2 linked regions of the Cricetulus griseus genome follow. The protein of the gene in region 1 purifies or fractionates together with the protein of each later gene. This does not show direct contact. Links are inferred from orthologs where the notes say so. Each region holds a gene or a part of one and is shown in the gene's direction. Other genes may lie near its edges.

Evidence for each region.
Region 2: the proteins of Tsr1 (region 1) and Rps7 purify together in Homo sapiens (co-immunoprecipitation; 4 studies listed by BioGRID and IntAct, with this or other methods). This does not show direct contact. The link is inferred for Cricetulus griseus from reciprocal best matches to the Homo sapiens genes TSR1 and RPS7.

What each region holds. Positions count from the first base shown.
Region 1 is NC_048600.1:88,354,429-88,360,176, forward strand, and holds part of Tsr1 (pre-rRNA-processing protein TSR1 homolog), read left to right. Parts: intron 1-681; coding exon 682-872; intron 873-885; exon of another isoform or gene 886-1,747; coding exon 1,748-1,910; exon of another isoform or gene 1,911-2,117; coding exon 2,118-2,228; exon of another isoform or gene 2,229-2,850; coding exon 2,851-2,983; exon of another isoform or gene 2,984-4,575; coding exon 4,576-4,692; exon of another isoform or gene 4,693-5,045; coding exon 5,046-5,186; exon of another isoform or gene 5,187-5,292; coding exon 5,293-5,367; exon of another isoform or gene 5,368-5,463; coding exon 5,464-5,642; 3' UTR 5,643-5,748. UniProt on the Homo sapiens protein: Required during maturation of the 40S ribosomal subunit in the nucleolus.
Region 2 is NC_048600.1:30,789,674-30,795,521, reverse strand, and holds the start of Rps7 (40S ribosomal protein S7), read left to right. Parts: upstream 1-2,569; 5' UTR 2,570-2,643; intron 2,644-2,838; 5' UTR 2,839-2,846; coding exon 2,847-2,921; intron 2,922-3,014; coding exon 3,015-3,086; intron 3,087-4,425; coding exon 4,426-4,569; intron 4,570-4,922; coding exon 4,923-4,987; intron 4,988-5,848.

The sequences.
Region 1 (5,748 bases):
CTTAATTATGGAAAGGATATGTTTGTTTGTTTTGTTTTTTGAGACAGGGTTTCTCTGTGGCTTTGGAAGCTATCCTGGCATTTGATCTGTAGACCAGACTGGCCTCGAACTCACAGAGATCCACCTACCTCTGCCTCCTAAGTGCTAGGATAAAAGTCCTGTATCATTACTACACCCAGTGCTCTAGAGGGTGTGTGTGTGTGTGGGGGGGGGGGTTAGGAACAAACTTGCTGGAGTCGTTCTCCTTTTCCACTATTTGGGTCCCTGTATAGAAATCAACTGCCTTTCCTCACTGAGCCACCTTGTTGGTGCTATGATTTTCTTTTTTGGGTTGTCAGGGGTGGGGGAATATAGTCTTATGCATCTCAGGCTTGTCTAGAACTCTAGCTGAAGCGGTGTGGATACTGTTTGCAGGCGTGTGGAATCTGCCCAACTTTAGGTAGCACTGGGGATCTAACCGAGAGCTTTATGTGTGTCAGGAAGGCACTTCTACCAGTGGAGCTACGTCCTCTTCCCTTTTCGGGCTTGTTACTTTTTTTTCTTTTATTTTTGGAGACAGGGTTTCTCTGTGAAACAGTCTTGCCAATAAACTCATAGTGAATCTCCTGCCTCAGCTTCCTAAATCCCAAGACTAAAGTGTGTTTCATGATGCATATTTGCAATTCCCCATTCATTTTACAGGATGAGAGTAGTGAGGAAGAGGAGGAGTGTGAAACTATGACTCTAGGGGAGTCTGTGCATGATGATCTCTACGATGAGCAAGTAGATGAAGAGGCTGAGGAGAGAATGTTGGAGAAATACAAACAAGAAAGATTGGAAGAGATGTTTCCAGATGAAATGGATACCCCCCGTGATGTGGCTGCTAGAACTCGGTTAGTCAGCAAGTGATTTCAGACAAGTTTTATTTGAAAAATTTTCATGGTTTAGAATTATTCGAGTAGGATGCAAATGGGAAAAACACATTGTCCTTTTTTCTTGAAGGGCAAGCATGCTACAGGAGAAGCAGCAACATATAGTCAAGGTATAGATTTGTTCAGAGTGAAACAGACATACCTAGTTTAATTAGCAAATATTCCTTGCAGGAGTAAGTGCTCAGAAATATGGATTTGGGAGGTGAAAGTACATATTTTGAAATGAAGCTTATAAAAGTAAAAGTAATAAAACGTAGTTGATTTTTCTGGATGTAAGCCTGACTAAAAGCCAGTATCAGTGTTGGGTACGAGAGTGGTAAGGCAGGTTGAAGAGCTGTATTCCATAACAGGCACTATAAATTCTTTGTCCCCTGTGAAAAGTCTGGGTTGATTTTGAAATAGTTATTAGAAGCTGTTGTAGGACATGGTTTTTGCTAAAGCTATTAGTTTGTAGTTTGTTTGAAAGATAGGGTCTCATGTGGATCAGGCTATTATGGATCTTCTGCCTCCACTTCCCAAGTGTTGGGTTATAGGTGTATATTTCCATGCCCATGTGTAGCTCATTAGGGTATTTTGAATGCCTAGTGAGTAATTTTGTTTCTTGAGCCAGTTTTGCTTTGTAGCTCAGGCAGACATGAAACACATGGTGTACCCCAACCTTCCCAGTAGATTAGAGCCACACTTAAAGCCTTGTTAGGTTTGTTGTGTACTAGAGGTAAGCATTTTACCACTGACTTACATTCTTAGATAAGAGTAATTTTAAAAAGTGAGAGCCTTGACTATTTTAGAAGTGAGGTGAGTCTTATATAGCACCATCTAACCACTTACTTTCTTAGATTTCAGAAATATAGAGGCCTCAAGAGCTTCAGGACATCTCCTTGGGACCCCAAGGAAAACCTTCCTCGAGATTATGCTCGGATCTTCCAGTTTCAGAATTTTATTAATACTAGAAAAAGAATCTTTAAAGAGATTGAGGAAAAAGAAGCTGAAGGAGCCGAGGTACCTGCCATCTTGTCTACCTTATAATTTGTTTTTGACACAATGCTACTTGTTTGGGAACAAAGGGATTTGAGATAATTAACTGAGAAGGTTGAATCTGGGTGGTTGGCACACCCATGAATGATGAGGCCTGGCATGTATTTCGAGAAAGTTTCGTCACTATTGGGACATTAAAGGTAACCCTGGTGATTGTCTATGCTTTGGCAGGTTGGCTGGTATGTCACACTTCATGTCGCAGACGTCCCTGTCTCGGTGGTTGAGTATTTCAGGCAAGGAGCACCCTTGATTGCATTTTCTTTACTACCTTATGAACAGAAGGTAAATCAGTGTTTTGTGAGGAATGAAGAGTTGTACATATTTTTCCAACATTTTGTTCTCTTGTGGAAGGCTACGTTTTTGATTCTGGGAGTCAGAATGGAGAAGTCAATGATGGTTATACCCAAGATGTCTGAACCTGTCTGAAGCATCTCAGTGATGCAGTCTGTGGTTCTGAGACTTCCCTACCTACTTTTTTTTTTTTTTTTTTTTTTTTTTGTCCAGATCAGAACACTAGTAGTCTTAAAAGTAAATGTTTGTGCCAGTGTGGAGACCTGTTCTCTAGGTGACCTGTAGTCATGCCCACTGGGAGTGGGACAGCTGGTATAAAGGTGGTGGAGGCTGAGAGGAGTGTATGTGGTTAATCAGGTGATGTGAAGGTCATTCACCATGGCTTAGCTTCTATAATGTTACATGTGGATCGATCAGTAAGCTAGCTTGGCTAAGCTAGCTTAGACATTGCATGGAAGCACTGACAAGGCCTGTATGAACCTGCAAAGTCAGTTGGTTGTTGGGTAAAAAGGACTATTTATTATGACATCATGTCATTAACTAGCATGGTTAGCCTTTCAGGGTAGGCTGTTGTATGCCTAGACTATGAAGCTTTTTCTTATTTGGTCCTCAGATGTCAGTATTGAACATGGTAGTGAGTCGGAACCCTGGCAACACAGAACCTGTAAAAGCCAAAGAAGAATTGATCTTCCACTGTGGATTCAGGCGCTTCCGATCCTCGCCCTTATTCTCTCAGCACACAGCAGGTTAGCATGGAAGCTGCTGGGGTCTTGTCACTTGTCTCTGGGGTGAAGATGTTTTCAGTACTCTGACTTAGGAGCCAATGATGTTTTTATTCAATGTCTGAACCTGTCTGAAGCATCCCAGTGATGCGAACTGTGTTATGCTGAGGCTTCTTTGCTGTGAGTATTGTTCTGGAGTAGGTTTTAAACCAGGGTTGGTAACTTTAGGAGTAGGAATATGTGTTGCCTGCTATTTTGGGACCATTGAATAGTACCATAACTCACTTGCCTTCCAGTGACAGGAGACAGAGATGGTAACAGCATTACTGGTGTTGTGGGTAAATTTTCATCTGTCGCATTATTTTTTAAAACAAAGTTTTGGTAAAACATGCCATGTCTTGGTTTTGGGATTTATTTATTTATTTTGAGATAGGGTTAAGAGGGCCTTGAACTTGGGTCCTCCTACCTTTACTTTCCAGTATTTTTTTTTTTTTTTTTTTTTTTGCTTGTTATTAAGTATCTAACTGCATTGTGTATGCTTGTCTTGTTTTATTTATTGAGATTTTCAACACAAGGTCTTAATATGTAGCCCAAGCTGGCCTTCCTTGACCTTCAGGGTGGTGGGAATATGGGGAGGGTTACATTACCATGCTCAACTGGCATGGTATCATAAAGGCACACTGACAAACCTGAGTAGTTGGAATAGAAAGTGATTTGGAGCTGGCTAGCTGCTCAACCTTGCTGAACCTGAGGACCTACATTCAGTGAGTGCTGACTGGCCCTGCGTGATAGAAGGGAAGAACTATGACTTGTATTCCAGTGCTGTAGCACATATGCCTCCACACCACCAAAATAAATAAAATGTATTAAAAAGCCTTAATTATTTTAAGAAAGTAATAACTGCATTGCAGATGAACAGAGCTTTTCTGCTATCTTACTGTCCTGCACACAGCACAAAAGAGCTCAAGGCTGAGTGAAAGTATTGGTTGTATTGAGATCAGATCATCTGGGAGGACTCTTTCATTTTTACCAGTAGACTAAGCATTAATTCTGTCTCCAGTTAAAAAATCACTGGTGGGACTCAATTTTATCTTTTAATTGTGTTGATGCAGGGCGTGGAAGAAGTCTAAGAGTTAGTATGTAGGGAAATACAAGATGAAGCTGGATAGGATATCCTAGCCCTTGTGAGATGGAGGAAGGTACATAGCAAGTTAAAGGCAAGCCTGCAATACATGAGACCTGTCTCAAAACAAAACAGACTGGAGCTCACAGAGGACCTGGGTTCAATTCCCAGTACCTACACTGGTCAGCTTAGAGGCACCTGCACACGAGCACCCCCCACACCCACATGGATATACCCAGATACCTACACATAAATAAAAACATGGATCTTAAACACTATTGCTTTTGGTTAAGAGTCACAGTTAAGCTGAGAATATGATGTAGAGCAATAAGTGAGTACACAGTCCTGTGCTTGACCTCCATTACCATAATTTTAAAGGGTGGGGCTGTGTGGCAGCAGCATAGCTTTTGACAGCTCTTGGATTGCTTATGGTTTCTCAAAAGTCTTTTCACTTTTTTTTTTTTCTATTTATTTTGGACCCTTACTATGGAAGCTGATAAACACAAATTTCAGAGATTCCTAACTGCTGATGCGGCTTTGGTGGTGACTGTGTTTGCACCAATCACTTTTCCTCCTGCATCTGTGCTACTTTTCAAGCAGAGAAGCAATGGTATGTTGAATTCTAAATGGTACATAATTGAACCTACTAGGACCAGCACTTTTCTGTACTTAGACCTGGGGTCTAAGTGTATTAAGGTATACTGGTGGGTTTTCAAAAATACCAATTTCAATCTCCTTGAGGGTGTAAGCAAGCCCAGGGTGATGCAGACTTCAGTAGAGGCTGCTTGGACTACTGTATTTAAGGCAGGCTAGGGGACTGCTCAATGGAAATATCTGTAGTGGTCTTTGTGTAAGAAAGGTAACAGTGCATTTCTCTAAGAAAACCTTGAATGAGTCTTTAAATAGAACAGAGTCGTAGCTGAGGGGTTGGTCCTGTACTTCACAGCTGCTCTCCTTTCCTAGGGATGCACAGCCTCATTGCTACAGGCCATCTGTTGTCAGTGGATCCAGACAGGATGGTCATCAAGAGAGTTGTTCTCAGTGGTCATCCTTTCAAAATTTTCACTAAGATGGCAGTAGTGCGTTACATGTTTTTCAACAGAGGTAGGCATGAATGAAGGAAAGTGGGATCTGTTTCCCTGTGGTGGGAAGATGGGCTAGGCACCGTAGGTAAATGTTTGATTTTTGTGTCTGTGTATTCCATTCTAAGAGGATGTGATGTGGTTTAAGCCTGTGGAACTGAGAACCAAGTGGGGACGCAGAGGACACATCAAGGAGCCTGTAGGTAAGAGCCTGGGATTCCCCAGTGTTACAAAGGGACTGTTGGACTGTGAAGTTCACTACATGTCTTACTGTGACCGATTTGCTGTTTTCCTCCTAGGTACTCATGGCCACATGAAGTGCAGTTTTGATGGGAAGCTAAAATCTCAGGATACAGTATTAATGAATCTCTATAAGCGAGTTTTCCCCAAATGGACTTATGATCCATATGTACCAGAACCAGTACCGTGGGTGAAAAGTGAGATCTCCTCAACAGTGTCTGAAGTGGACATGGAATAACGGATTCAGTGGGGTCCTGTCTCTACTGCAGCCGTGGGTGGGAGTCTGGTTGTGATTATGCAGGTTGTGCTATTTCAGCTGTCCAAATCTACACTGAGTATGGGGT
Region 2 (5,848 bases), about 58 Mb from region 1:
ACAGGTCACAAGGATTGATCAAAGAAGATTATAGATTCCTCCTGTCATTTATACCTCTGGGAGAAGGAAATTCAGTTTTCTCCAATAGAGTGACACTGGATATATCAACCATTTCAGGGCAGGCCTCATGTTCAGGAGTAGTTGACCAACATAAATGGACTCACAGTTTGTGTATGTGTGTGTGCAAGCTTTTATTTAGTTACAGTTTGGTGTTGTTTTTTTTGTGGTAGTTTGTTTTCTTGGTTTGGGGGGCTTTGTGGTTGTATTGGGTTTTTGTTTGTTTTTTTGAGAAAGAAAAGTTGGGTGGGAGGGGGAGAGGATCTAGAAGGGCTTGAGTGAAGGGAAGAATATGATCAAAGTAATTTTAAAGTTAAGAATTATTTTATATATACTCTAAAAGGTATATTATATATAACTTTCTTCATTGAACAAGCTTCAATTAACTCTTAATTTTTCAAAGAGCTCTGGGCATCTTGATCTCACTATGTACAACAGACTGGCATCAAAGTCACAGGGATCCCCCTGATTCTACATCCTGAATGCTGGGACTAAAGGTGAGCAGTATCACCATCCCCGGCCTGTAGCTTTAAAACTCAGAAAGAGGCTGACTATTGTGACTTTTACACCATTTTCTATAGTGCCTGGCCCATGGTAGGTAACAATTTTCCCCACTAACCTTGACAGGTAGTAAAACTCAAAAGAAAGGACAATCTGGTGTAAGAGGTGACCTCTAACTGTTACCAAGTGACTAGGTCCTAACTGCTCTTTAATTTGTAGGGTACTTATGTAAGTCATTACAACTTACTATCATATACTTATATAATATCCTCACCAAACTGCATTCTCCATGAAGGCAAGGATTCTGTTGGTTTTAATAACCAGTGTATAGTCTAAATCAGGCATATTCAATTGTAGAGCAGGGACTCACTGGGCACATGAATTTAAGGTGATAGCTGAGGTGGGCACTTCTTCAATAAATGGAATTTATCCTCAGATCTATCAGACATTTGCTCCTGACCTATCTTTTCTTTCTTTTTTTTTTTTTTTACTATTCATGCTGTGACTAAAGGAAGTTGTGTTATAGCAAGTCCTCTCCCAACATTGTCTTCATTCTGTCTTTTGTTTTTCTCTGTGTAGGCTGTTTTGGAACTCGCTATGTAGATTGGGCTGGCCTGGAACTCAGATCTGCCTGACTCTGCCTCCTAAGTGCTGGGGTTAAAGGTTCATTCGGTTTGAGTGTTTCTCCCCACAAGTGCGCTCTCACTGACCTGGCTTCCTTGCTCTCCCCACCTTTTAGGGCATAAGTTTTCCGTGTAGCCTTGGCAGGCAGAGGCCTGGCCTTCTAGATTTAACTCAATCTCGGCCTCTCCTATGGGCTCTTTCAGTAAATGTTTTGTTGTGTTGTTTCTTGAGACAAGGTTTCTCTGTCTAGTCCTGGAACTCACACTGTAGATCAGGCTGGCCTCAAACTCAAGAGATCTGAGTGTCTCTGCCTCCCAGATGCTGAGACTAAAGGCTTTGCCACCACTACCCAGCTTGTAAAAGGGTTTTTGTTGCTGTTGTTTTTTGAGACTAGATCTCTACAGAGCCTTGAGTAGACCATCCTGGCCTTCAACTCACGTCCTGATGCGCCACAACATCCGGCATTCTCCATAAACGTTAAAATTCAACAGGACAGCCTGTCTTTTTGTTTGTTTGGTTGGTTGGTTTTCGACACAGGGTTTCTCTGTGGCTTTGGAGGCTGTACTGGAACTCGCTCTCGCAGCCCAGGCTGATCTCAAACGCACAGAGATCCGCCAGCCTCTGCCTCCCGAGTGCAGGGATTAAAGGCGTCCGCCACCACTGCCAGGCAGCTTCATATTTTTGAGGACTGTTTCCTGAACATGTTCAGAATCTCCTGATGCACCAAGCATAGACGTTAGAAATAGGAATTCATAGATTGGTGGCGGCGGCACTCTAATCTCGAAAATCCAAAAAGTAAAATAAAATAAATGGGAATTTATGACAGATATTCAAACACTACCTCATTGCTTTCATTCCCTATATGACGAACTGGAATTACCGTCTGATCCCTTTTCTTTTTTGTTTTTTTTTTCTTGACAGGGTTTCTCAACGTAGCCTTGGCTTTCTGCAATTCTCTTTGTAGAGCAGGCTGGCCTCAGTCTCAGAGATCCTCCTGCCTCTGCCTCCCAAATGCTAGGATTAAAGGTGTGCACCACACCGCCAGGCTAATCTGACTCCTTTTCATAAGGTCAGCGTGAAAAGAAGGGTAAGCTCGGGACTAATTAAACATTTTAAACGTCCCATCTTCGTGGCGAACGGAGCCGAGTTCTTCCAGACCGGTCCTGTCTTCGGGGACTGTCTATCCGCCACCACCCTGTCCAGGAACACACGAAAAGACTACAACTACGGAAGCTGAGAACTTCCAGAAACGGAACCAAAGGCCTACTCCTACAGGAGTGACACCGCAACACTCGTCCTCCGGAAACACTTCCGGGAACATGCGAGGCGATCTACCACTTTTCAAGAGGAGAGCTTGCTCCCGCCCATCCACTTCCGCTGCCACGCCTCTTTTCTTCCGCCACCCGGATATGAGCAGTTCTCGCGAGATCCGGGCCTCTTTCTAAGCCGGCACTCCTTAAGGTATGTTGGCGCCTGGCGATGGCGCCGCGGGTTTTTTGCAGAGTTTCGGGGGAAGGACTCTCATAGGATCTTCGGGGCGTCAGGCCCTGTTCCCCGGGTTGGGGATACCATGGATTACCCGGTCTGCGCCCGCCGATGGCCCCCGGCCGGGCGTCCCGCGCGACCCAGTTGACTGACGGCACCTTCTCCCCCTAGGGCGAGCCATGTTCAGCTCGAGCGCCAAGATCGTGAAGCCCAATGGCGAGAAGCCAGACGAGTTCGAGTCTGGCATCTCTCAGGTGAGTGTGTCCTCGGGTGTCCGGGTCCCCATGATGCCGTGACCTCGGGTCCTTCTCACCCCGGCGTGGCACCCACGTTCTCCGTGTCCGCAGGCGCTGCTCGAGCTGGAGATGAACTCCGATCTCAAGGCGCAGCTGCGGGAGCTGAACATCACGGCAGCCAAGGTGAGTGGAGACCACCCCGGGGCTCGCACAGTGCTCGGGTCTGTGACAGCCTCGGCCTTCGTGTCTGGGCTGGGAAAAGGGAGAAGCGTAGACGTAGGAACTCCCCAGTGCGGTGAGTCCTCACTGTACGTTCTTGCACCTCGCCACATCCGATGATAACATTTCTTTTTAAATTAGCTTTGTTTTATGTGCATTGGTGTGAAGGTGTCAGATCCTCTAGTACTGGAGCGAAAGACAGCAGTGAGCTCTCAGCGGGTGCTGAGAATTGAACCCGGCTCTTCTGGGGGAGCAGCCGGTGCTCTCAATCGCTGGTGCTCTCAATCGCTGAGCCATCTCTCCGCCCCCCCCCCCCAGATAGATGCTGGAATTTCTGGTTACTGACTTGAAGCATGTGCCTCCCAAAGGAAGTGTCTAGACCCAATATGACTCCTTACTGGACCGTCAGGTTTAGTGGGGGCTTTATAAGGTTTTGGTGTGACAGGGATTTGTTTAGGATTTATTTTGTGACTGTTAGTGGTCTGCTTGTGTTGCGTTTGCACACCACGTGTGTCCCTGAAACTGGATAGTTGTTAGTTCTGGGAGCTGAACCTGGGAACTTTGCTAGCACAAGTGCTGCGCCTCACCCTGAGTCAACCCTAGCCCGGGATTAGTGTGCTGTGAGGTTTTTATTGCCAAATTCATACTGTTTGGACTGTATAGTGTATGGAACAGGCTTGACATCCAGGCCATGGGGATTTAAGGTTTAGTCATGCTGGGGGAACTTGAGGTTGCTTGTGGCCAGCGTCCTGGGTGGCATGGCCCTCACTGGTGAGACAGAATCTCTGGTAACCTAGGCAGGCCCTTATGAACTTGGTCCTTCTTTCTGCCTCTACCTCTCTGGTGCTGGGGTAATGGGCATGTATCTGCTGGTCGCTCGGTGTCTCTTGTAGAGTCGCCCACATTCATTCTGAGATTACATTTCAGTGACCTCCAGTGGCTGATATCCTGGAGATTCAACCTCTGGATCCCTAACTCCATTCTCAGGACCTCAAAGTGAGGGTTAGGTTTTAACTCATGAACTTCAGGTACCCCGTAGTCTATATCCAAACCATAGGAGAATGGTGTTTGGAAGGGGAGCTGTTTGTTGTTTGTGCGTAGTGCATGACATTAATCCCATCACTTGTGAGGCAGAGGCAGGTATATCTGGGATAAAGGCCAGACAGGTCTACATAGAATGTTTCAGAAGGGGGCAGCTCTTGATTTAGATGTGTGGTATTTGATGTATTCACATTAACGGTGTTACCTCAGTGGGGGGAATTGGAGGTGAAGGACTTAATGACACGGACTTTGTTCCTCTTAGGAAATTGAAGTTGGTGGTGGCCGGAAAGCCATTATAATTTTTGTACCAGTTCCTCAGTTGAAATCGTTCCAGAAAATCCAAGTACGACTGGTTCGTGAATTGGAGAAAAAGTTCAGTGGGAAGCACGTAGTCTTCATTGCTCAGGTATCTGTTCAGTTTCCTGTATTCTGAATTACTTGGGTCTAGGTGTCGGGAGTGAGAATGGTGACAACCCTGTTAGTGTAAAGCTTGGTGTTGGGGGTAGAACACTGGAGTGTGTTTGCTCTGGGGAGTCAGCAGTCTGAAGGGTCTGATAAGTGACAGTGCTGTGTGTTTAGGATTGGATTTGGTGCAGTGTGGGGGATGCTCTGTGTGGGGCTGATTGGAAAGCAATATCATTGAAGCATTTCAGTGGGCTGGTTTGAATGTGAAAACATTTTTGCATTTGAAGCAGTTGGTCGTTTCTTAGCAGCTTTGCCTCAGCTCATTTGCTGTTTTTGTGTTTGTTTTCATCAAAGAGGAGGATTCTGCCCAAGCCAACTCGGAAAAGCCGCACGAAAAACAAGCAAAAGCGCCCCAGAAGGTGAGTGTTTTAGCTGCTTCTGCCAGGTGTTCACTACTCACTGGCTGTTGATTTGTGTAAGGCACTGAGCACAGCACGTCATTGGTGTAGAGTCAAGACTGAGCCTGTTTCTCTTAACTCAGGATGTGTTAAGTGTTGGATGTAGCTGAGGGGCTGTGCTGTTGTCATGTGCTGCTAACAATGCTAACAGCCACTTCATGAATTGGTCTTTAGACTGAGGCCTTGTTGGTGTTGCTGTAATTATGTCAGATTTGTATTGAAGATTCCTGCACATTAAGGGCGAAAAGTGTCGTTTTCCCTCATAACTGCTATAGGCAATCTTGTGAGACATACAATTTGTATGGTGTGTTCTGTCAGTGCTTTTGAGACAGGATCTCGAAGTCCAAGTTCACTTTCAACTTGCTGTTAGCCAAGACTGCTCTTTAACTCCTGCCCTTACTGCGCCAGTGCTAGGATTACAGGTGCACACCATCATGTCCTGTGGGTGTTGTTTGTATTGCAGTATGGTGGTTAATAATGCTAAGAATTTTTCGCAATTCAATCTTGCCTTGAAGCACTGGAAAATAGGTGGGAATTTTGTGTGTGGGTAAATGCTGTCTGTAGGAAGGAAGACAGGTAATGGTCACAGCTGAGACTATAGTTTTTCCAGGGGGCAGTTGGAGTGGTGGGATTTTTTGTCATATTACTTAGTGGGGTTTTCGATTATGGTCCTTGGAGCCTGGTCAAGTAAGTAGCCCTTGCATGGCAGAGCTAAGATTACCTGCCATGCTGTAGTGTTCCCTTAGCAACTTCTGCCCTTGACGCCTAGGTCCTTCCTTGGTGTAGGGTGTGGTAGTCCTTCCTATACTTCTGTCTCCAGAC